Linked DNA regions of Arabidopsis thaliana. The protein of the gene in region 1 interacts with the protein of each later gene in a pairwise test. Each region holds a gene or a part of one and is shown in the gene's direction. Other genes may lie near its edges. The genes, in order: AT5G02530, AT5G25490 and TOR1.

The links.
Region 2: the proteins of AT5G02530 (region 1) and AT5G25490 interact in a two-hybrid assay, tested with the Arabidopsis thaliana proteins (one large-scale study listed by BioGRID).
Region 3: the proteins of AT5G02530 (region 1) and TOR1 interact in a two-hybrid assay, tested with the Arabidopsis thaliana proteins (one large-scale study listed by BioGRID).

The regions. Positions count from the first base shown.
Region 1 is NC_003076.8:561,909-570,459, reverse strand, and holds AT5G02530 (RNA-binding (RRM/RBD/RNP motifs) family protein), read left to right. Parts: upstream 1-4,534; 5' UTR 4,535-4,683; coding exon 4,684-4,872; intron 4,873-5,004; coding exon 5,005-5,190; intron 5,191-5,281; coding exon 5,282-5,350; intron 5,351-5,434; coding exon 5,435-5,673; exon of another isoform or gene 5,674-5,932; coding exon 5,933-6,128; 3' UTR 6,129-6,375; downstream 6,376-8,551. Other genes in the region: AT5G02540 (NAD(P)-binding Rossmann-fold superfamily protein), read right to left, coding at 63-109, 183-267, 395-473, 551-704, 801-880, 1,385-1,616, 1,734-1,851; AT5G02520 (dentin sialophosphoprotein-like protein), read right to left, coding at 6,620-6,666, 6,755-6,812, 6,885-6,943, 7,030-7,111, 7,203-8,350, 8,442-8,551. UniProt on the Arabidopsis thaliana protein: Export adapter involved in nuclear export of spliced and unspliced mRNA.
Region 2 is NC_003076.8:8,872,726-8,881,276, forward strand, and holds AT5G25490 (Ran BP2/NZF zinc finger-like superfamily protein), read left to right. Parts: upstream 1-3,595; 5' UTR 3,596-3,811; intron 3,812-3,907; 5' UTR 3,908-3,913; coding exon 3,914-4,335; intron 4,336-4,523; coding exon 4,524-4,614; 3' UTR 4,615-4,649; exon of another isoform or gene 4,650-4,834; 3' UTR 4,835-5,179; downstream 5,180-8,551. Other genes in the region: AT5G25500 (exosome complex exonuclease), read left to right, coding at 8,393-8,551.
Region 3 is NC_003075.7:13,580,296-13,588,846, reverse strand, and holds TOR1 (ARM repeat superfamily protein), read left to right. Parts: upstream 1-3,596; 5' UTR 3,597-3,776; coding exon 3,777-4,499; intron 4,500-4,824; coding exon 4,825-5,016; intron 5,017-5,492; coding exon 5,493-6,974; intron 6,975-7,068; coding exon 7,069-7,266; 3' UTR 7,267-7,561; downstream 7,562-8,551. Other genes in the region: TSB2 (tryptophan synthase beta-subunit 2), read right to left, coding at 228-403, 495-589, 677-1,119, 1,195-1,551, 1,927-2,283. UniProt on the Arabidopsis thaliana protein: Plant-specific microtubule-associated protein (MAP) that regulates the orientation of cortical microtubules and the direction of organ growth. Determines microtubule organization by modulating microtubule severing.

The DNA.
Region 1 (8,551 bases):
TAGTCATAGAGTAAGATCTTGAATTTGGCTTAGTCTTAGGATTCTATCTACTAGTATAGTACCTGAGGTATATTTTTCCACAAGTAGAAGCTGAAGAACTTCAGGAACCCTGCCAAAAACGGAATTAAAAGGAATGATTTGAAGAGAAACAGAGAAACTAAGAAAATGATGTGAAATCTTACTCATTAAAAGAGCAGTGTGTTGGAAGAGATTGGTGAGAATAAGACCAGGGTGAACTGAATTTGCTGTTATGTTTACTCCTTCTTCCTACCAAACAATGTCCCCAAAAAGATTTTGAGTTTTTATTTTCTCAAGTGTTTATAAATTTGAGATAGTACTAACACTTTGAAATATCATATATGTGTTTGTGTTTGTCAGTGTGTGTGAAGGCGACCTGAAGCTGACGGGAGAGCTCATTAGCATGCAATATATTGGCTAGTTTCGATTGTCCGTAAGCTCGCTTATCCGAGTAACTGAGAGAAAGAAAAAACATGGTTACAAGATCAAGATTTATTTAGTTTTGAAACAAGTCAAAAACTGTAGAATTTACCTGCAAATGTCATTGATGCTGTCGAATTGGATTCCTTCTTGGTAAGTATAGATATGAGCTACAGATGATACATTCAAAATTCTTCCTTCAACACCACTGGTTTTAGCTGTGTTCTTCATTGTGTCCAAGAGCAAGTTTGTCAACAGAAAGTGACCTATACAGTATAATTCAAGAATTAAAAATTTCAATATTTTCAGGTTTAATTTCTGAAACCAAGTTTCTTTAACTTTTTTATAAATATAGGATTTACCAATGTGATTTGTAGCAAACTGCAATTCGATTCCATCTTCAGAGAGTTGGTATGGACAGAACATTACTCCTGCATTGTTTCTGCAAAATCCATTTTGTGTACAATTGTTATAATTATTAATTAAAAGTATGCACTTTTTTTTTTCACCCAAAAAAATAAAATAAAAACAGATAACATTTATTTTTCTTGCTACACACATCTACAAATCTAGTGATACGTGTGTAGAGATTTGGTAGTAATAAATGATACCACATTGGAAAATGTAAAGTAACATTGATGTTGTCAAAACAAGAAGAAAGAAGTCAAATGTTTAGAGCGAAAAAATAATGTCATTGTCACAGCATTAAACATCAAAAAAGAAAAAGCTGCATAAATAATTATTGGGTGTCGTTGTTTATTACCTAACTAACGTAAATAGTAGTACTACACAATAACAGAGGAATGGTAACCAAAACAGTGTTAATTAACGTTGTTAATGTGGAAACCATTCAAAGCCTGTAATTGTCATAAGAATCAATAATCCAAACGCTAAAAAAGGCGGTGCAAACGCTTTAAACTGAATGAGAGAAAGAGAGAATGTGTACATGAGGAGATTGAGAGGAAGATGGAGGGCATGAAATTCACGAACAAAGGCTTTGATGGATTTGATGGAAGAGAGATCTAATTGAAGAAGAGTGACACGTGCGTTTGCGTTTTGTCTGAGAATCTCTGTTTTGGCGTTTTCTGCAGCTCCCATGTTTCGGGCACCGATCACCACATGAGCACCTCTCTTCGACAGCACTCTCGCTGTCTCCATCCCTATTCCTCCTGTCCCTCCTTATTACAATAATAATAAATCACATACCAAGTTTTGTTAGCAATAAATAATTAAAACATGTTCAAAAACGTAGCGATGTAATTTTTTTGTAAATGTATGCATATGCATATGTGAACCTGTGATAATTGCAGTGAGATTAGTTGCATCAATCCCTTGAGTAACCTCTTCAGCTGTTGAAGCTGAACCAAATCCACTTGGTCCTCTTCTTCCTGTGATTAGTGAATATAATCCCATTTTTAATAGATTGACCTCAAGAAACAATGTAGAAGAGAGAGAGCGAGAGAGACAAGAGAGGAAGAAGAAGATAGGTTTGGGAGAATAAAATGGTACTATGAGAGAATCATATATATAAGTGGCAAAGAGTCATTAATGCTTATTTTTGGTACCTTCTAGTTTCATGGACCTTATTGTGTGAATTTATCCATGAATTATAAATACACATTAAACCCATCCCCACCAATATTGAATATAGATATGTACAGTATGTATATTAGTTTTTTCTTGTGACGGTCGATTCTCGATAGTGCATGCATTCGAAATCTAATTAAGAAAAAGTTCGTATTTTTCTTCGATATAGAAAATAAACTCGCTGTTGTCAACTTAAGCATGTCTATTTCTAAATAAGTTGTTGTTAAGGTCTCTAAACTTTTAAGTCCTTTTTCTCTAAAAAAACCCTTCTAATATTGGTTCTAAATTGCCGACAATGGCGAGTGTTTTCCCTCTCTTATTATTCGAAAATGTTACTATACCATAAAAGTTTATTAATCTTTACATAATTTACACATTACTTTCCCCTTTTCAAAACGAACAAAATAAATCGTTTGCTATCAAACATGTTAATGTACGTTGGTAGTAATGTCCCCTCCTTTTTTAGGGGTATTTAATGTCCTCTCGTTTTTCGAAGATTAAAACAAAAGAATATGATTTGTGTGTATAGAAAAATGAACATAATCTAAGTAAACGTTACATTTGGGGATTGATGATTAATCCCAATTTTTGTTTTTTTTTATAAAAAAACACTGAAAGGTATTAAGGTGCTCTAAGCTATTGAAAAACAAAATGTTGAATAAAAATATAGGGATGACCAAATTATTAATGAAAGGTTGGTGAGAAGCCGTTGGTTACTATACTGAGTTTTCAGCTACTTGACATCCTCCTTTCTTCACATGTTTCCAGTGAATGTGTTACCACTTACCCAAATCCCTCCTAATTTAGGGGCGAGTTTCATTTAATTAACCATCTAATTAGTTTCATTTTTTCCCCAAAACTTAGGGAGGTTATTATGCAACTAAACCGATGACTATAGTCTAAACCAACAAAATCAAAGTGGTGTGGGTTTGTTTCTTTCATGTAGAGACGAAAATACTTGACTTTGTCATCCATATTCAAACCTGCATTGGATGTTCTTGATAGAAAATAAAGAAGAAAACCTAACATAACTAAACAAGGTCTCGTACAAATTTTAAACAACTGAAGAGCATAAATCTTATACTAAAGAAAATCATTAAAACTCTACTCAAGAATACTTCATCGGTCGTTTACAGAGTTTTTGACCGGCAGATAAAGAAAGATATATACTTATTTGGATAAAGAAACAATACAGAATGTATAAAATTAATTCATAGCCCGTGCTCATAGATATCGATGTTCCTTTCACATCCCGTTTCCAAGTTCAGAGAATCCAACTACGAGATTTGGATCTTTCTTTTTTTTGCCTTGCAAAATTGATTGCTGAGAGAGCCTCATAATGACATTGTTAGGTGGTAGATTTACACAAAGGTACACACACACACCACTATCGAGATTAATGCCATATTTATTATTGTTATTATTGTTTCAACATACTAATTCGTGATTTAAACAATCAAAACCTATAATGCTTTATGATGTAAAACTGATAGTTGAACAAACTTGTCGTGGTAGCTGAGAGTATATTCTTTTCAAAGCTGAACTTATATTTAGCGATTATTTTGTTTGTTTAGTACTCTATAACCGGTTAACATTATTTTGTTTGGCATGCAACGAAACAAATCTAAATAGAATGGACCAACCTACATTTGTAACTGCTTCAGTAAAAAAAAAAAAAAAAAAAAGAAGAAACAGAAGAGATTATATTGCTAGATCTAGCACCTATATATTAGGATAGTCGAATTATGTAAGTAGAATAATGAAGGCATTTACTCTATCTATCATGTTTTTAGCGGCGACTGGCACATGACATCCGGCTCATTGGCTCATTTGTATGGGGAAGTGATGTGACCATGTGAGACTATAACGTCTAACGATATTGACTATTTATTTCCTTATATTATATTACTGCCAAAAAAGGCAGCTCAAAAAATACTATTGTGCAACGGTTATTATTCCATGGATCAAAGATATCAATAATTTTTTGTTAACCACATTTTGTTTTTATCAACATATTTAAATATTTTGTATAGTAATTAATGTGTCATCATTTGAATACAAATCTGTATATCATATAATAAAAAAGTCCACTTAACCATTAAAAATTTCATAATTCGTCTAGAATTCTACATAAAATCTTCTGGTCAGGTTATAAAGATGTCTTTAACACTCATGGTACAAGTAATTTGTTAAATAGCAAGGCAAGATTTGTTTTCCAAATTGAGATAAACAAAGAAAAAAAAGGGTTGACTTACTAATATTAATACGTGAATGTGTATGTACGTTGTGATACAGTCACATACTGTGCCCATACAGGCAATGCGTGTGCTTCACATGTACTTGTCCACATCTTTGATTATGACAATGGCCGGAGGGAAAAAAATATAATAAGTTGAAGTGGACAATGAGGATGGGCCACTGGATTTTTATGAGTCCAAAAGGCCCATTAAGAACTCAGGGGTCTATTTAGTAAAACGTAAGAGTTTAAGGGCAACAAAACAATATTGATTAAAGCTGAGGTGTTTATCGTAATTCTCCGAGAAGATAATATCTGTTTCTCTCTCTCTCACTCTCGCGGTGCGTAATTCCATCTTTGAAATCTCAGAGCAACAAAACCCTAGCTACATTTCTCGATATCGGAGAAAAGATCCGGCGAAGATGTCAGGTGGCTTAGATATGTCACTTGATGATATCATCAAATCTAATCGAAAACCTACTGGATCTCGCGGCCGAGGAGGCATTGGAGGTGGCAATAACACCGGTGGTCGCGGTGGTTCCGGTTCTAATTCCGGTCCGTCTCGTCGGTTTGCTAACCGCGTAGGAGCCAGAACGGCGCCGTATTCAAGGGTCAGCCCATTGATTTTATATCTCTCCCTTTACCTTCTCTTCCTTCAAGAATCAGAGAATTCCTTTTAGGGTTTTTGTGAAATCAAAAAAAGCTGAGATCTGTTTTCGTTTCTTCTTTGACGAATAAAACAGCCGATTCAACAACAACAAGCTCATGATGCGATGTGGCAAAACGACGTCTTCGCGACTGATGCGTCTGTGGCGGCGGCTTTTGGGCATCATCAGACTGCTGTTGTTGGTGGTGGCTCGTCTATCGAGACTGGAACTAAGCTTTACATTTCAAACTTAGACTATGGTGTCTCCAACGAAGATATCAAGGTTTGTGCTTTAGAAGTTTATTATAGTTCCAGTCTTACTTATGAGAAAAATTGTGGTTTTGTTTCTGATCTTGAGATGGTTTTGCTTGTAGGAGCTTTTCTCTGAGGTTGGTGATCTTAAGCGATATGGGATTCACTATGATAGGAGTGGAAGATCAAAGGTACTTACTTGATAAGCTTTATTGTGCTTCAGAGATTTGTTTATTGAATCGTCTTGTCATGATTAAACTTAATGATGCTTTCAGGGGACTGCTGAAGTTGTTTTCTCGAGGCGTGGGGATGCATTGGCAGCTGTCAAGCGTTACAACAATGTTCAGTTGGATGGAAAACTGATGAAGATAGAGATTGTTGGGACTAATCTTTCTGCTCCAGCTCTTCCCATTCTTGCTACAGCTCAGATTCCTTTTCCTACTAATGGGATACTTGGCAACTTTAATGAGAACTTTAATGGCAATTTCAATGGCAACTTCAATGGAAACTTCAGGTTTGTCTTGTTTCCACACTTTGTTCAATATGGAAACTTCATAGTATCATTTGCTAGGGTCTATCAATCTATTGCTAAGTCAGTTAGTATCTTGATGAAATACTTATGTTTTGTTCTTCTGTTAAGATGGCCTATGTTTTGTTCTTGAGTTAGTATATTGACGAAATGCTTTTTTGGTTAGGCCAAGTATATCCTGATAGGTAGATTACACGAACCTTGTACTCCTATTAAATATTTTGGATAACCTGTTATGCCACAGAGGCAGAGGAAGAGGCGGTTTTATGGGGCGTCCTCGTGGTGGTGGTTTTGGCGGTGGTAATTTCAGAGGTGGCAGGGGAGCTAGAGGACGTGGTGGTCGTGGCAGTGGTGGAAGAGGACGTGATGAAAACGTATCTGCAGAGGATCTTGATGCTGAATTGGACAAGTACCACAAAGAGGCAATGGAAACAAGTTAGAAAGGGGAGATTAAACCTATTGCATGTCTACATGTATTCCTTCCTTTAGTGCCGATATGCTTTTGTATTAGTATGATCTTTAGATTGAATGTCAATGGGTCTGACATTTTCGAGCTTTAGCTTTTGTTTTTTCTTCTCTTGGTGAGCTTCTTAGCTTTTTGCAGTTGAGTTCAGAGAAACAAGCATTGTGTGTACCGTGGAACTCAAAACTCTTCTAAAATATCAATTCAAAACACAATTCTATCTACTCTCTTACTACGTATACTTTGTCGTTTCAAACTTTTGAGCTTGAAGCAAACGAGATCCACTATGAATTTACTTTGTAAAAAAAATAAAGGAAGCTAGTAATACTAAAATATTAAGAGAGTTTCACGACCAACAAAATGATTACAGACAGGGTCAGAGACCATAACAAACCTACTTATTAATTATGATTACAGGGTCAGAGACCATAATAAACCTACTTATTAATTACGAAAGTTTGAAATAGTTTATTTGATTTTCAAGTTTCTTCGCTTTCGAGAATCCGATCCTTTTCCTATCAAGAAGAAGAAAGAAAAAAACAACAAATATTGTATTATATAGTGAAAGCCGTTTTCATCAAAAAACAGCTTTAAAGAACTAACCTTTAGATGGAGCGGAGTTAGTCTCACTACCATCCTTTACTTGGATAAGGTTCCGATCCTGCAAACCCAGACAATGTTAAAGACTCTGTTCCCATGGTTGGTCTAGTGTTAAGGAAATCAAATCACAAACCATATCATAAACAGGAATTTGGTTACGCCAAAACTCTAGTGATGACACAAGCACCCTTCCTGCAAAACATTAAACAAAATTCTTTTTTTAACTAATGCTTTCAACAGAGCCCTTTGGAAGTGAAGATTTTCTACTCTCTATTAACCTGATCTTGACCGTTTCTGTCCCAATGAATCAGTAGACGCCGCATTGGTCTTCTGCTGCTTCACTTTTTTTTCCGGTGTTACCTTTGAATTACATAACAACAAGAGCATTAACACTCAAACAGGAATATCAGAGGATAACCATGTAAGTGGTGGCATAAGGGGAAGTGGTTACCTCCACATCAAAGTCGATTTTCCTCTTTATTTTTTCCCATGACAAGTTTTCTTCAGCTTCTTCAGCTTCAGACCTGAAATGATTCATAGGCTCTACAACATTGCTGTTACTTTGAAGGGTCTTCTCACTTTTCTTTGATTTTCCTTTCGACAGGGGATCTTGAAATGCCTTCGATACCTTCACTCTACCTTTTCGCTGTACTGACGTCAGTGATTCTTTAGTAGCATTCTTACTTGTTAATCTTTCAACATCTGTACCAGAAAGCCTTTTACCAAATCCCTTCACTGGTGATATCACTTCATTATTGATAGCCACACATACATCTTTTTCTACGTCATTGCTCTTAGCATTATTTAAACCTTCCTTACTATGTTCTGCAACATTACTAGTCGGACTCTGGAGTTTACTCGCATCGATTTTCCTTTTGTTTTCCGCACTTTTGACTTTCGTCCCAGAGTAATTCATGGGATCTACTACATTGTCGTCACTTCTGAGGATCTTGCCACTTTTCTTGGATATTCCTTTCTTTTCAGGTTTGCTACTCTTGGCTAAGTCTTTAAGCAGGGAATGTGGAGATGCTGTTGTTACAAGTAAACCATTTTGCTGTTCCGAAGTAAGTGATTCTCCAGTAGCACTTGCACTTGTCACTTTATCAACATTATCTGCACCGGTATGCTTAATACCACTTCCAACCGCTGGAGATATCACATCATTATCGATAGCTTCGCTCTTATCTTTTTCTACATCACTGCTCTTAGCCTTAATGAAACCTTCACTACCATTATCTCCATCATTACAAAGATTCTGGACTTCACTTTCATCGAGTTTCCATTCACTGTCTTCATTATTGATAACCTCACATCCATCTCTTTCTACATCACCGCGCTTAGCCGTATTCAAAAATTCACTACCATGATCTCCATCATTAGCAGTCTTCCGGACTTTACTCGATTCAAGTATCCTTTTTATTTGCAGATGAAGAGACCTTCTCCTTGCAGTTTTTATATCTCTTGCTCCAGAACCACCTTTATCATTAATCTCTGCAATATCAGTCTCAGTCACATTGCTTTTCTCTCTGCTCTCAGCTGGATTATCCTTAAGATTCCTGTTAGAGTACTTACAAGGTGATAAAATGGGAGGACAAGCTGCTAAGAAATCATAAAACAAGGACATATCAATAAAACATAGATGCATCAGAAAAAAACACACACACACAAACACATTGCTTCAAGACCTAACCTTTCTCGATAGTCGAAGGGACGGTATTAACATCAGTGCCAAAAGAGTCTCCTTCAAAGCAACTGTTACAAACTCGTTCCCAACAAGGAGGAAACCCGAAGATGAATTCA
Region 2 (8,551 bases), 8.3 Mb from region 1:
TTCATGTTCATACTATATGAACTTTGATTCCACGTAGGTTTGTTTGGATGGTTTTAGTGAGATTGAAAAGGATTGATAGAAATATTTTATAAGTAATTCATAGTTAGAGTGAGGTACAAAGTTGATTTACAATAAAATTGAGAAAGACCCAAACTACAATCTAGAAATTTAGGAATTGATTTTTTTATTTCGATACGCGAACACGGAACCTACAAACACTATCTATTTGATCTCCATTCATATGCGAGGAATTAATTACTCTTGCATTATTGATCATATGTAAGTAGATAAATTAACTTTCTAAAAACATTTCGGTCGCCATCGTATTAGTTGAGATTTTTGATTACTACTTATGTAAGTGCGGATGAGGTAATAATAAAGTGCAGAAAGTAAAGAGATAAGAAATTTGTTAACGAGGTTCGGTTTTTCCTACTCCCCGGGACCACGTCCAGATTTCGATTTCACTAGAACAAGAAAGCAAATTACAATGAATTCGCAAACGCGTAAAACAAGCACACCCCTCTTGATTTACCGCTCCCTTCTATAAACGTGAAACCTTAAGGATAATCTCTACCCTTAACTAAACTCCCCTGAGTCTAGATTTAATCAGGATAACCTAACCCTGAGTTAAACTCCTTCTGAGCCTAGACTTCAATTCTCCAAGTCTCTGGAATAACCTTCACGCACCAACAAACAAGCTTGATCACACAAGCACCAAACCCGCGAAACTATGTCGCATAAAACCGTGAAACTATGTCGCACACACCCTTAGAAAGCTCTCAATGATTTGTCTTTATGTCTCAGCTCTCCTGCCTCTCCAAGACGTCCTACCTCCTCCTTATGTAGCCAAAACGATTTCCTAATCACCATAGGAGAAGATTTCCTTTTTCCATAAGAAAAAGTAAATTTACTCTTATCCTTTTTCTCATCAAACTCCACTTTCATCAAGTCTTCCAAATCTCTTTAAGTCCTTTTTCTTTTTTGATTCATCCTCTAAACACGCTCTTCTCAAATCTTCTAGAAACCGATACTCACACAAAACTGTCGCATCCTGAATTATTTCTTGAATCATTCAGCAATTTTATCAGATAAAATCATGTATTACTTCTTGTATCATTCAACACTTTCATCAGCAGCAGCTACATCTTCAACTTAGTCCTGTAATTTATTTTCTTAACATACAATTGAATTCAGCTAATCGTCCTTGCGAATGATCAAATGCATAGATAATTGTATCATCCTAAATAAAAGACGTGGGGAAATCATATGACATCTAGAACTTTGGAGAAGGGGGAGATAAGTGATGATGCATGGAAGCATTTCCCAAAGATAATCGAATAGATTCTCTCTTTTCTTTTGTGTTCGTCAGTTTTTCTTTACCATTCCCCGAGACAATATGGTGGGTTTATTAATTATTTTGATTCTTCTATAATTCTTCCCATTATTTTTATATATTCTTTTTAAGTTACCCATTCTTTTTTCTTCAATGTCGAGACGTCGAGTTAGTTAGCTTTTACGGCGACTTATGGATAAGGCATTACGCTCGGAGCCATGGACTGAGTTGGATAGATATAATGCGTATAATATTTAATCCCCATAACCTATATTTTAATTCCTATACATTGTAATGGTAGCATCTCAACTTTAAGGTTAGAGTTGGAACCTTAAAGTTTATGAATATTACAAAACACTTGTATGGGGGTGGAGTGCATGAAAATTAGAGCTGGGATGTATATATGGGAATATATATGCACTACATTATCTTACATTTTACATTGAAAAAATATTAGAAGATATTGTTCTTCATTTATTTAAGTATATTTTTACTGCTGGTGTATTCTACTGCCCTATATATATCTCGAAAGTTAAATAAATTCATATGTTATATAACTTTTAGTCATTCGTGGCATTCTTCTGTTACATCTTACTGTGGATTTTTCGTCTTATTATCTTATAGCTGACTCTTACTTTAGAGAGACAAGTATACCACAATGGAAAGGGTGATTTGACGGTAAAAAAAGCGATTGCAGTGTACCCACAAACGACAATTTATAATTTGTATGTGGGATATATAGTAAGGGAAATAAAAATCATAGGGTTAAATAGAAAAAGTGAATGAAACTGTCTTGTAGTTGTAGTAGACGAATCAAAAGGACACGTAGATGGTCAAGATACGAACCTCAAAGCCTTTTCCCTCCCATTTAATGATTCTTGTTTTTGTTTTAATCTATAATTTTTCATGATTTTCTTAAGTCTTTGTTTTGAAAATCACGAACGAATAAGTTCTGATGGATGTACTTGAATATTAGTAACAAGACTAATTGAATTAAAGAAAAGAGAAGTTATTCCTTTGACGTTTATAATTTTCCGCGGCTAAGGGAACATATACGTTCCTTGAAACTGTTGCCATGCAACTTTTGCTTTAACAGTTTAGAGAGTTTTTTACTTCATGCTACATCCTTTTTCTCCTGACACACACAAGAGCATATTATACATCCATGTACCTCCTCCATCGACCATCAATATATAGATACATGTGATTATTAATTATCTACATAAAAAGTTATACCACGAAGTTGCGATTGATAATATGAAAGTGGTACATGCTCGAAATAGATAATGAGAATATATCAGCTTTAGTTGTCTCATCGTTAGTCAATCTATATGTGCATATACAGTTAACAAGAAATCTATAAGCATATACGAACTGGGGTCCCAATAAGGTCTAAGAATCTTTTTTTTCTTTTTTTCTTTTCTTTGCTTTGCTTTAGTTTAGTTTGTGAAATTTAGTGAAAATTTCATTTTGTCTCATAGAGAAACCACATGTTAGTCAAAAATTATATAGTAAGTCCAAGAAAACTATATTAATATACCCATATTACCATATAGTCGGAGATTTCTAGTATCTCTAGTTTAGTTCTTCTTATTCATTATCAATTCAAGTGTTATAAAACCTCGAGACCAATAAAATAGGATTCACTCTCCTTCGTGCCCCCAAAGATATAGGTTTACATATCTATATTTCCACACCACCATTTTAAAAGCAAGAGTTAATTAAAGAGATATTTTTTAGTCATCTTGGTATGTAATCTGGTAAACTTTTTAGTTTGTTATCTTGTATAAACAACCAGTAAGATTTTGGTTCTTTTGTAAATACTTCTCTTTGAATTTAGGACTAGTGTTTTAAAATTACTTTCCTCCCATATTTTTGTTTTGATCTTTCAATTTAAATTAAAAGTTCGTTTACAACCCATGCATGCACACTTCCGAATTTAAACTCGGATTATAATTTGGCACTATAATAATCTATTAGAATACGTCTTGATTAATTTTAAAATATTTAGGTGTCTTAAAATAAGTACGTACGTTGATAAATATGGAGATATATACATCTGTCAAGTAAATGGTATTGAATTTGCCAGTATTAGCTTTTGTGAAGCTGACGCAAAATGAAAACGGCTGATATCTAAAGCTTTAACCTTGTGTTTCTTTTTTTTGTTTAAAATAGTGGGGTCTAGAAATGATAAATTAATTTAAAGTCCTCGATATATATAAATAGATAAATTTGTTTCTTTTGGGAATAACGTAGTTTACGGAGAAACCCAAATGTTAAAGGGAAATGCATTAAAGCTGTAGCAAAATAAGAAAGTAAAAACCAATTGAAACCCTAATTTCACTTCAAAAAATGTTCCCGGTTGTTAAAGGAAGGGCCTTTTGCTTTGTCCATATAAATATATTGTGAGAGTACAACAACACCTTCATAAGCTCTTACACTCATTTCAACTCTCTTTTTCGTTTCCATTACCCTCAGGTAATCATAACATATATATAAGTTACATTTGTAGATACATATGTCTTTAGTTTTGTGTAATTTGTTACTTAATTATTATTTTCTATGGTGTTGTAGAAGAAGATGAATAGGCCGGGAGATTGGAACTGCAGATTGTGTAGCCACCTCAACTTCCAGAGGAGGGATTCATGCCAACGTTGTAGAGAGCCTAGACCGGGCGGGATCAGTACCGATTTACTCAGCGGTTTTGGTGGCCGTCCGGTTAGTAGCTCCTTCGGTTTCAACACCGGGCCCGATGTGCGACCCGGGGATTGGTATTGCAACCTTGGGGATTGTGGGACACATAATTTTGCCAATAGGTCCAGTTGTTTCAAGTGTGGTGCCGCAAAAGATGAGTTTTCATGCTCAAGTGCTGCTGCAACAACCGGGTTTATGGACATGAATGTTGGTCCGAGACGTGGCCTTTTTGGTTTTGGCGGCAGCAGTAGTGGTGGTGGTGGTACGGGCCGTTCTCCTTGGAAATCTGGAGATTGGATTTGCCCAAGGTACTTTTTTGTTTGATTGTTTCTATGTATTGATGTTATTTTTTTGCAATAATATGTTTTGATGGTTAAAACTTAAAGCCAAAAAAGAAACATGCATGCTGGCTTACGTAAGCTAAACACGACCGTTTAAATTGTATTAATGTATATGCATATCGTAGAAACTGATTGGTTTAATTTGTATATTATAGGTCAGGCTGTAACGAACATAACTTCGCAAGCAGGTCAGAGTGTTTCAGGTGTAACGCACCAAAGGAACTTGCCACCGAACCACCCTATTAGTCATTTAGTCCTCCTACCTTCTTCATCATTTCCAAGTACTTTTCGTTTCAACAATAGTCTTAACTTCTGATCAGAAACAGTTCGACATATATATTTGGATGATAGAATTTGTTAACATTTACAACTTTATTATATCGTAAAAGTTTAAATAGTAGTGTGAAATACACTAACGATAGTACTTTAACGTTAACGTACGTATCTTTTTGATTATTTTTTTTAGTACTCTGGAAGCATTAGAGGAGAGCAGAAAGGTGAAGAATCGAAGCAAGATACCGACCGCCCTTAATCTCTTGATTTGTTTAATTTCTTAGATTTGACTCGTTTTATATCTCGTAGTAGTCAGACCTATGTTAGAATGTAAGCATGTCGAGAGTTTTCCGAAGCATTTTGTTCTGATATCGGTCTCCTAGCTAGTATGTAAGTTTGTTTGAATGTATTCTTATTTCTGATAAAGTTGTTTCCTTCTGATTCCGCAATCACGATTCTCATCTAAGTTTGAAACACTTGAGTTGTTGAACGTACGAGAGGCTGAGAGCTGTTGAGAACTTCTTCTGTGGCCGCAAATCCAAATTGCATGCAAATGTTATTATATATGCAATTAAAATTTTGTTATATAATTTGTAGTAGGAATGTAGTTTTACGTTAAACCAAACACAAACTCTAGTAACCGTTTGAAATGGGTAGATGCATGGACCACAACGAAACCTTTTGTCCAATGCCTCAAAAAAAAATATGCATGAGCATTCATATTATGATGTGGCTTGGTGATAATGAGCTTACCACCAAATCGAATGAAAATGTATGAGTTCCACTCTAAAATGAGAATAGTTATCAGAAAATATTAATTATGTTATATATCATTAATTAGTTTAGAATTCTAATTTATTTTCTTGGTAACATTAAGTTGCAAAATTAATTTTAATTAAATACAAATACGGATTTCACTATATATTAAATTGCGTATTCAAGGCCATCTTTTCGCACATACATTCGAGCAGTCGAACAAAACCCATAAGAAGATTTTTGCAATGAAGTTTTGTCATAAACAACAATATTGCAACTGATCGATGACCGTTTCCTTAATTGTTTGTAATGGGTGGTATACTTAAAAATTTGTTTTCAAAATGTAAGTAAGAAAGAAAAAAATCAGTAACGCATTTTTCATATTTACCATTCAACTTTTGATCCTGCTTATTTTTGTACTGTTTGTTCCGTCTCGCAGTACTAATTAGAACTACACTTTTTTTGGTCAAAACACTAACTACATTTTTTTTGCTTGATCTACTACTCAATATATTTTTGTTTTTATCGCTCGTTCTATACTGCCACGTACGATTGAGACTCTAAAATAGAGCAAGCGTACGTTGGTACGTGTCCACACACACGTTGCATTTTGCATAGGATTCCAATTTACTGAACTCATGGAAGTGTAGTTAAGATTATCATCAACGGGTCAAAAAAAAAAAAGACAACCAGTCTTTAATGTCTGCTACTATAATCCATTGCTTAGCTTTTATTTTTTCGTTAAAGGGTTGCACTAATTGGCTTTTTACTAAAGAATCTTTCGTTTTTCCCCCACTTTGAAGTCAATTCATCATTTGATTCTTCTTTGGTTTTAGTGAAGTGAAAGTACGTCTTAGGTATGATTATCATGCATGCATCATAGTGAACGTCTTCCCACTTTGAATTTCAAAACTATCAATTATTAGATTCGATTTAGATATGAATATATAATAATAGTATTTCAAAATGCATAAATTAGGTTGTGAATTGTAGACGATAAAATACAACCAGCTTAGTAATCTTCTTCTAATTATCAAATATATAGCATAATTCCTAAATCATATGTTTATTCTCATTAACTAACATAGTAGGTAATTCTGTTCATATGATTTAGCTAAATGCACGGTTTCATAATCACCTAAAGATCCATAAGCAATCATCAAATTACAATTAGTGTCAAACTAAGCACTACTTAAAATTCAGTGTTGGCGGAGAATAATATAAGACACATCTAATTACAATGGTAAGGATAGATGTGTGCAACAGTGCAAGTATATGTATAGCTTTAATCATAACTTATTAGTGTTTCTTTTAATGAGCAAATGAGAGAGACTTGTCGATGACCAATCTAAGTAAAGTGTACATCACTTGTTAAATAAACAAATATATTCTTACTGTTAAAGTCAATTTTTATAACAAAAGCAATAGCAAAGATAACTTTTTATCCATTTCAAAAACACCCTTACACAACGCTAATAAATTCTTAAATTTTGGGAAAAATTGCGGTAACTTTTATAAAAGTTTTAAAATTTATCTTTAACCCACATAAAAAAGCAAAGCATGTTCATCTTTCTAAGCCCTTTTTTTCTTAGCCCTTCTTTCTTTTGTTTCACATTTCCACATTCTTCCTAATAATTTCTATCTTTATGCAAAGCACACAATTGACATGGATGGAGCATATGCATATGTATTTGATGAAAACTTATTTTCTGGTACAGTATAATTCCACCAGAAAATTGAAGCCTCCACACGAATATTGTTTTTTTTTTTTTCTTTTTTTTTTACAAGATGTGATATACATAATGATTTAAATTTGATTGGTGACACGTTAACGACACTAAGACAGATTGTGAGTTTCCACGTGAGTTTGTTATCAAAGTATTTGTTTAACATTTGAGGACTCAAGATTCATATTCTAACATTATCAAATACTATTTTCTTACATAAAATGAAAATATCACCTATTGTTCAATTAGGAAAAAAAAATTGAAGGAAAAAGAAGATAATTTAAAATACTTTTAAGTTGGAATGCATGTAGATTAAGATTATTAAAAAATTAGAAAATGGCAAAAATATTTAACCAATAAACGGTGGTTCAGTGATTCAAAAGTTATTCTAAGATGGTACGAAATAGAGTTCACATTTTGTCATTTGTTTTCTATCATTGTTGGTAATATCGTGGGCATTTTAACATGTACTAGGTATAATATTGCAAAATAAAACAAAACTGTGCAAGATTTGGCGACACAATCCATCATGATTCCGATGGTTCCACTCTGAGATTGTTCATGGATTAGTTCGAAGAGTCGATCTCACATGACACGCGTGGAATCAGTGATCCAAGGTTTTGTGTTCTGCATTGTTGATAGCTTAGTTTCTTCGGACCCCAAGTAAAACACTTCCACTGCTAAGAATGTGTTTCATTTGTCTTTACATTTTGCATCATCGTTTTTCGTTCTCAATAGCTCAATGCAGTGATCTTCAAAATCATTTTCACTTCTTTAGACACCGATAATTTCATTGCTTTCGTCGAGTCGATGAACTGATTTGAGTTTGTGATTTTGCTTCATGCTTTTATTTTATTTTACTATGAGACCAAAAATAAAGTTTAAAATCTTGATCGTAAACAAAACATTTTCATTGAATCATTTTTCTGGGCCAAAAGAGGCCTTTTTAATGGCCCATTAATGATCCAAACGCGATTACCAAGCTCTTCGCTTCCAACTACATCTCCTCTCTCACAGCTTCACTTCACTTGTGTCATCTAAAGCTTCCCTTGAATCTCTTCTCTCAAATTCGCTTTACTTCTTTTCGCGATACAGATTCACTTGCATTAAAATCTGTTTTCTCGGAGAGATTCTTCCCGTGGATGAGATAAGAGATCCCAATTTCGCCGTTTCTTCATTCACAAGAGTTGCATACAAACTGTTTGATGAAATTCCTAAGAGAGGATCTGATTATTAGGTCGTTGCTATTTCACTAAGCTGATTTTCAAATGTGGGTTAATGGGTATCATCAAATAAGAATACATCTAAACTCTGAACTCAGTTTCAAGGCAAATCCAAGTCGCTTCTTCCGTTCATTCCAGGTTTTGTATCATCCTTCAGTTGATTCATATGAAGATGTATTGCCTCATGAATGGTACGAAACGAAA
Region 3 (8,551 bases), on another chromosome or scaffold:
AGATATGAAAGGGAAAACCAGCTAAGTCAAGAACAAAACAGTTCGAATTGCTTATAAGAACATCAAACGTTCCATAGAACATTTTTATTTATATGATACATTCATAACACTTATTCTCTTCTTAACCCTTTGATCCAAACTTTTGGATTCCCGACCATAAGCAAGGAGAACTAACAAACTACATAAAAGAAATAGCACTGTGTGAAAATGAAAGTAATCTACACTCTTTAAACTTCGAGATACTTGATTGCAGTCTGAACATCCTTGTCGCCTCTCCCACTGAAGTTTAATACCACTCTGGCTCCATCAGGTAACGTCGGACAAAGCTTCTCCAGATGGGCCAATGCGTGCGATGTCTCCAATGCCGGGATTATTCCCTCCAACCGAGACACTCTCTTGAAAGCTACACGCATAGATTAGAATACACAATGCAAGTTCTCATGAGTTGTGAAAGAAACATCTAAAAGGAGAAAAATGAAGTGTCAAGTAAGTACCTTCTAATGCTTCTTCATCAGTAACGCTAAAGTATTCAGCCCTTCCCACGTCTTTAAGGAAACTATGCTCAGGTCCGACTCCAGGGTAGTCCAATCTGATAACATCAACTTTTACTCTTTAGATACAGGTGACCAGATACATGTGGCTTAAAACCAACTTTGAACAGAGAAGAATCTCTTACCCGGCACTGATGGAGTGTGGTTCAATGATTTGGCCATCATCATCTTGCAGCAAGTAACTCATAGCTCCGTGGAGTACACCGACATCTCCTTTTGTCAATGTGGCAGCATGTTTGCCGCTGTCCAATCCAAATCCAGCGGCTTCCACACCAATCATTCGAACCTCTGTGTCATCGACAAATTCATGGAAGAGTCCCATAGCATTTGAACCACCACCGACACAAGCAACCAGAACATCAGGCTTCCCGCCCCATTTCTCCATCGCTTGTTTCCTTGTTTCTTTACCAATCACCGCGTGAAAGTCTCTGACCATCATAGGATAAGGATGAGGACCCGCAACGGATCCCAATATGTAATGTGTAGTCTCCACATTGGTCACCCAATCCCTTATAGCTTCAGAAGTTGCGTCCTTTAAAGTGGCTGTTCCAGAGTGGACTCCCCTTACCTACAAGCATCAGACTTAGATAACAATTTGAAAGCATTGCGATTTTGCAAGGTTTACGCAGAGAATTCACATCACCTCAGCACCGAGAAGACGCATTCTGAACACATTAAGAGCTTGTCTCTCCATGTCTTGAGCACCCATGTAGATAATGCACTGCAAACCGAAACGTGCACACACAGTAGCTGTGGCTACACCATGTTGACCAGCCCCTGTCTCAGCAATAATTCGTTTCTTTCCTAGACGCTTGGCGAGAAGAGCCTGAGCCACAGCGTTGTTGATCTTGTGAGCACCGGTGTGGTTCAAGTCTTCCCTTTTGAGGTATATGAGCGGCCCTTCACCGTTTTCACGGCGGTAATGCTCCGTGAGCCTCTCTGCAAAGTAAAGAGGACTTTCCCGACCAACGTAGTCTTTCAAGATCTCTGCTAATTCTCTCTACAGATTCATCAAACATTAGTTAGACATTGCCCAACAAACGAACTAACCAAAAAGACTTCTAACTTACATCACACAGAAGCATGTAATGCTGAAGAAACTAAGAATATGAAATGAATGTCGTTTCCAGATTTCTGGAAAAATACAACACTTTCCCAGAATTACATCCTACATCGCAAACAAATCGATTTGTCCCATACGGCTTAACATTGTTTGGCAGATTATTTTTTAGAATTGGAACAAAAAAATCCGTTTTTTAAACTTTATCACTAGCCATGGCAATGACAACGCTTGAATCAGAAACTCACAAAGCCAAATCATTTCGAATCGATTCAAAAACTATGAACAAGATGGAAACAAAATCAGCAGGCATACCTGGAAATCTTCGTCGGTGGCGAGCGAATAGAAAGCCGTTTCGAGTTCAGAGAGGGCGTGCATTAGAGTTTCGGGGACGTACTTGCCGCCAAACTTCCCGAAACGACCGAATGAATCAGGTCGTTGCCACATAGTCGGATCAGATCCAGCGGCCTTAATCTTCTCCGAGTCCGCCATGACAACAGCTGGGTCCTTAGCGATGGTGCAGGAGACGGAGAACGAAGAAGAGGACCGTGAGCGAGCCGATGGCAGAGGCGTAAATTTGGGGAGTTTGGAGGGTGATCTCAGATGGGTTAATTCGGAAGAAGCTGAAACGGAGGAGGGTCTGAAAGTAGCAGCGGTGCTTGCGGTGGCCATTTAGTGAATCTTTTATCTAGCTTTCAAACACGAAGACAAATGTTTTGCTGACAAAAACCTTGAAAGTGAGGGTTCTTTTTATAGATTCGTTATGTAACACTTAAGTTTTTTGACCAGAAATTCAATAAAATAGTGGAGGAAATCGGTAGTTCGGTACCACGTTAACTTATTTGTGAACAACAGAAAATGAGAGAAGAGTCAGAAGAGGTTGGTGAGAATAGGGCGGTGTACATTTTGGGGGTTGGAGTGTTTATCACATGCCTAATTTTAGTGTTATCTATTTTCTTTTGGTAAACGTCCTCTTTGGACAAAATGACGTATAGCAGTTTTTGCTAATATGATTCAAAGGCTTCTAATAGTGCTAATGAACGACGTACTACTACTCGTTTTGTTTTTGGTGGAGTTGATAAATAAAAGGATTACAAAGACATGTACTTATGGTTAAATTAATACAAATGAACTAACTATATAGTTTTAGTTTAATTTCATGATTTTTAAACGTTTTCCAAAACTTTATTAAGTTTCTTGTATTTTTTATTTTGTACTTAAAATAATAAAATGTGGTTGATCTTTTAATGACCAACATGCAAATAGTCAAAATGACACTAATCGATTACATATTCGAACCAAAAAAAATAAATATCAAATCGGTAAGGTTTGTCTCTTATCGATTTTACCGTCTTAACTTGTCATTTAGGCAGACCTTGTTGGTCCGATGAACCACCAGCCTCTGATCCATTTATGATTTACACACGTGCATTAAACACCAGACGAAGGCCTTTGAGTCGTTGAAGCTAAAAAATGAATGGTATATGCATGCGGACTCACTCGGAAGCCTCTCCAATGTGCATTGCTCGACTCTAACTCCAACAAAGTGTACGTAACGTAACAATCTTAACGACAACCTAAACAACTAATAGCAATCACAATTCCTTAAAGCATTCGTTAGTGTACCATGTAAAATTCCTTGAACCATTCATTATTGACTTATAGTACCATGTAAAAAATTCCTTAATCCATATATCAAGCCATGTTTTTGTACAAGAAACCAATTTGACATTTTGAATAATTAGATTCTTTATTTTTATTTTTTTTAACTTAAATTTTGAAATAAAAATTAACAATCCATAATGTAGAACGTGATGTCTCTAAATTTGATAATGTCCGAACTTATTTGCATGGATGTTTATATATTACACTAGAACTCGTATTATTGATTATTAATTTAAACGAAGTATCACGAATTTAAACTATATTTTCATACTTTGTCTTTCACACCCGATTTTCCGCGACAAATGCAAAATCCAGATACTGAAAATTATGCAATATTAAAATTTGAAAAAATTGAAAAAGTGAAATACTAATAAAATTGAGCGACACATTTCTGATTCCAGTCTTAACTGTTACACTTTCGAGTGTCAGATCTCGTCTTTCTTCTCCAACTCGTCTATCTTCTTCTCCGATTAATCTAATCTCTCGTCGGAGATTTAGAAATGAGCACACCTACAACTTCCGGTTCGGCGGCGAAACCGACGAGACCAGCACGGTCGTCGAGTTTAGCAACTAGGTCATGTTCCAATTCCGGTTCCCTCACTTCGTTCCAAGCAATGGTGGAGCTGAAGCAAAAGATCCTTACCTCAATCTCTAAGCTCGCCGATCGAGATACATACCAGATCGCCGTCGAGGATCTCGAGAAAACTATTCAATCTCTCACTCCCGAAACCCTACCGATGTTTCTCAATTGTCTCTACGATTCGTGCTCCGATCCGAAACCTGCAGTGAAGAAGGAGTGTCTCCATCTTCTCTCCTACGTTTGTAGTCTCCATTGCGATTCGACGGCTGCGCATCTCACTAAAATCATCGCTCAGATAGTTAAACGGTTGAAGGATTCTGATTCTGGAGTTAGGGATGCTTGTAGAGATACGATTGGTGCTTTGTCTGGGATTTATCTCAAGGGAAAAGAAGAGGGGACTAATACTGGTTCAGCGTCGTTAGCGGTGGGTTTGTTCGTTAAGCCATTGTTTGAGGCAATGGGAGAGCAGAACAAAGTGGTACAATCTGGAGCTTCAATGTGTATGGCTAGGATGGTTGAATCAGCTGCTAGTCCTCCAGTTACTTCTTTCCAAAAGCTTTGCCCTAGAATTTGCAAGCTATTGAGCAATTCCAGTTTCCTTGCTAAGGCTTCCCTTTTGCCAGTTGTTTCAAGTCTCTCTCAGGTTTGCCCAGAATCCTTATAATCTCCTCCTTGTCATGCTATAGACAGCAAATGGAAGAATATGGTGAATTTTGAATATCAGTGTCAGTAAGTAGAACACAAAGTTTTAGTAAATAACACTGCTTGAGGTTTTAGTCTTAATCCGACACTTTTTCTGTTAGGTGTTGCTGAAGTTTATTGTTTGATTTGAGCATACAAGTCTCAGTGAAATTTTGAGGGGTTTAATATCTCTCTCTCTCTTTACTTCTGGTAGTTCAATGCTAGTAGGTTTAGTGGTTAAATCTGTTTATGAAAAAGAGAAGTAAAGAGCAATTACTTTGATTCAGGTGGGAGCCATTGCACCTCAGAGCTTGGAGTCATTGCTAGAAAGCATCCATGATTGCCTTGGAAGTACAGATTGGGTAACACGAAAAGCTGCGGCTGAGACCCTGACTGCATTGGCATCACATTCAAGCGGTTTAATTAAGGAAAAAACCGATTCCACCATTACCGTGCTTGAGACCTGCCGGTTTGACAAGGTAGCTATCTTTTCTTTCTCTAATTAATCTAATTCCACTATTATCGTGTTTGAGACACGTCATTTTTTACAAGGTAGCTACATTTTTCTAGTAATCTAAAGTGGTCCTGTAGTGAAGTAAACGTAAACCCCATAAGCTCTTCAATTCCTTGTAAATGTCATCAGCAGCTCAGACATATCTGTTAGTGGTTGATAGTGCTTTTGGACCTTTCTCCTCATTTGCTATGCTGATGAAACGCACAAGCAAGTAGCTTGAAATTCTCACGAAGCCTTACCTTTTGATTTTTGACTACTATATGATTTACATATCTCAAGAATTTTCAGTCATCTATAATTTTTCTTTCACTACTGAGCATTGAAATGGCTGGATGTTTTATGAAATGGATTATGGCTCTCTACACATTCATCAAAATTCTATTACTTAGGACATGGAATGATCTTCTCAAGACACTTTACTGATGGAATTTTCTTGGACAGATCAAACCTGTTAGGGAAAGTGTGACAGAGGCGCTGCAGTTATGGAAGAAGATTTCTGGAAAATATGTCGATGGTGCTTCAGATGATTCAAAGCTTTCAGCTAGTGAGCAGCTTGGATCAGAGAAGAACGGGGAGAAAAGGTCTAATCTAGCTGATCTAATGAAAAAGGAGGCATCCGATGGTTCCACTCTCTCACCAGACTCTGCTTCTAAAGGAAAAGGATGTTTTCCTGAAAAAGCAGTAGGACTGTTGAAGAAGAAAGCACCTGTCTTAAGTGATAAAGATTTTAATCCTGAGTTTTTCCAAAGACTAGAAAGAAGGCAATCCGTGGAAGTAGTAGTTCCTCGTAGATGTAAAAACAATGATGAGGAAGAATCAGGACTCGATGATCTCAATGCCATGGGATCTTCAAATCGCCTCAAGAACACCCAAGCAGATGATAAACAGGTAAAAGGTAGGTTTGATGGGAACGGATCACAAGCAAGGACATCTGGTGATGATAAGGCTGGTGTTGTAAACGGAAAAGAGACACCTGGACATCACGCTCCTGTCTCCAATACTGATAACCAATCTGAAGGATCCTTCACAAGTAATAGAGGAAATTGGTCAGCCATCCAGAGGCAGTTGTTGCAGCTAGAGAGACAACAAACAAATCTTATGAACATGCTCCAAGAGTTTATTGGTGGCTCACATGACAGTATGGTGACCTTGGAGGGCAGAGTAAGGGGTTTAGAAAGGATTGTTGAAGACATGGCAAGAGATCTTTCGATATCATCAGGTCGTAGGGCTAATCTCACAGCTGGGTTTGGCAAATATAATAGTTTTGCTAACTATCCAACTGGAAAGTATAATGGTCGAGCTCCAGGGGAAAGAGGCTCACAAACAGATGGAGCTATGAGGGGGAGAATGTGGAATTCTGACATGGCAGATGACTGGTTCATACCTCCACATGCTGCTTCCAGAAACGGACAAGCCGGGCCAAGAAGATCACCTCGGTCAGAACAATATGAGAATGAGCACATGGGTAATGGCAGGAGAGGGTGGGATAATAAAGCATCTGGAACTATTAGATTTGGTGAAGGCCCTTCAGCAAGAAGTGTGTGGCAAGCATCAAAGGATGAAGCTACACTTGAAGCTATTAGAGTAGCCGGCGAGGATGGTGCAGTCCCTCGTCCAACCCGAGTGGCTGTTGCCCCTGAAGCTGAAGCCATGGGAGATGATGATAACGAAGGGCAGGAACGTGACCCGATATGGGTTTCATGGAGTAATGCAATGCACTCACTCCGTGTTGGTGACATTGATGCTGCTTACGCAGAAGTCCTCTGTGCTGGTGACCAGCACTTGGTCATCAAGCTGATGGACAAGACGGGACCTTCTCTTGACCAGATGTCGAATGAGATTGCCAATGAAGCTCTAAACTTCATCTCTCAGTTTCTGCTGGATCATAGTCTCTACGACATTTGCTTATCTTGGAGTCAACAGGTACATCTCTTACAGTACATTACTGGGTTCCAAGAATCACACATATGTTTTGTCTTTAACCTCTCTTTCTCTCTTTTTGCCATTCCATTTGCAGCTGTTGGAATTGGTTTTACAAGACGGTGCAGACACGTTTGGAGTTCCAATGGAACTGAAGACAGAGATCTTGTACAACTTACAAGACGCATGTTCGACTATGGATCCACCTGAAGACTGGGAAGGTCCTGCGCCGGAACAGCTCGTGGTGCAGTTGGCATCAGTTTGGGAAATCGATCTCCAACAGTTCGACAAGTAAACATGAGCTTGTGAACGGAGCTTTAACTTCAGTACCGTTGTTGTTCATAATTTTCGTACAGACAGGATTCAACATCTAGACTCTAGAGTCTAGAGTTTGATTTTTCTTATTAAAAACCCGTAAAAGATGACTGGAATTGATCAAATATTGCTATGTATTTGAGTTTTACAATATTTTGTCATTCTTCCTTTTGCTTAATTGAAAAAGCCGGAACTTTGAAGAACAAATAAATAAGACAGAAATTATTTTAAGAATATCATTAATAAATCCCTAATTTTATAACAGACTTTTAAAATAAAGTTTTTTGTTTTTGTTTTGGCCAGACAAAATTAATTAATTTATAATATGATACGAGTTTGAGACAATTATCCATTTAACTTTTTTTTTTTGGTAATCATTGATCCATGTAAATTTTAATGTTTTTATTTTTGTCAAATTGGAATTCTCGACATAGAAAACAGAAACAATTACAAATAGTTTTTGAATGTACACAATTTGCATGAGAAAAAAATCAAGAAATTACCTAAAAATAATAGTGTGTATATAAATAATCTTACTTGGTTTTGAGTTCAATCATCTAGATATGTAATTTTGTGAGATGCCAATACATTCATATATATAAATACGCATTTTCTTATCTTATACACACTACTCTAAGGCAAATAGCCAAATACCATCCACGCCAATTGATACATTCAATAGTTTTATATGTCATTGGTGTATATAGAAAAAAAAAATGTCATTTGTGTATATCAAAGCTTTATCTAAATGAAATATTTTCCTTAAAAACTGTATAATATATTAAAAGATTTTATTAATTCGACCATGATTTCAGTATTGTATAAATAAGTTAGGTTTTTTTCCCAACAATTCGATCTATTATAAAGCTTATTCATATACTTATTATGCATTAGTTTATGTATCGCCTTCCTACACTGAACAAAGGGGTGGAACAGGTGTAGGAATTCCAACAACTCCTGAAACTATATTCTCTGTTCTCCCATGGGAGCTCGGACCAGAATTCCACCAGCAACCTCTCGTTGACGAAGCATGTAGGAGCTGGACGTTTTTCTGTAAAGACCCTCCCAAAAATAATTACCCTACAATGGGTGAGACTTCATTGTACTGGAAAAAAAAAGAAATCCCATTTGATAAGGATTGATACATATGAAGTTTTTCATGCCATATATTCCCTCATTGCCAGTGTAATCTCAAAACCTCGAGGGAAACAGGGTGATTCAGAGCTTATCTATACTCCCACATGGGTGTGTATTTGTTCTGTTTG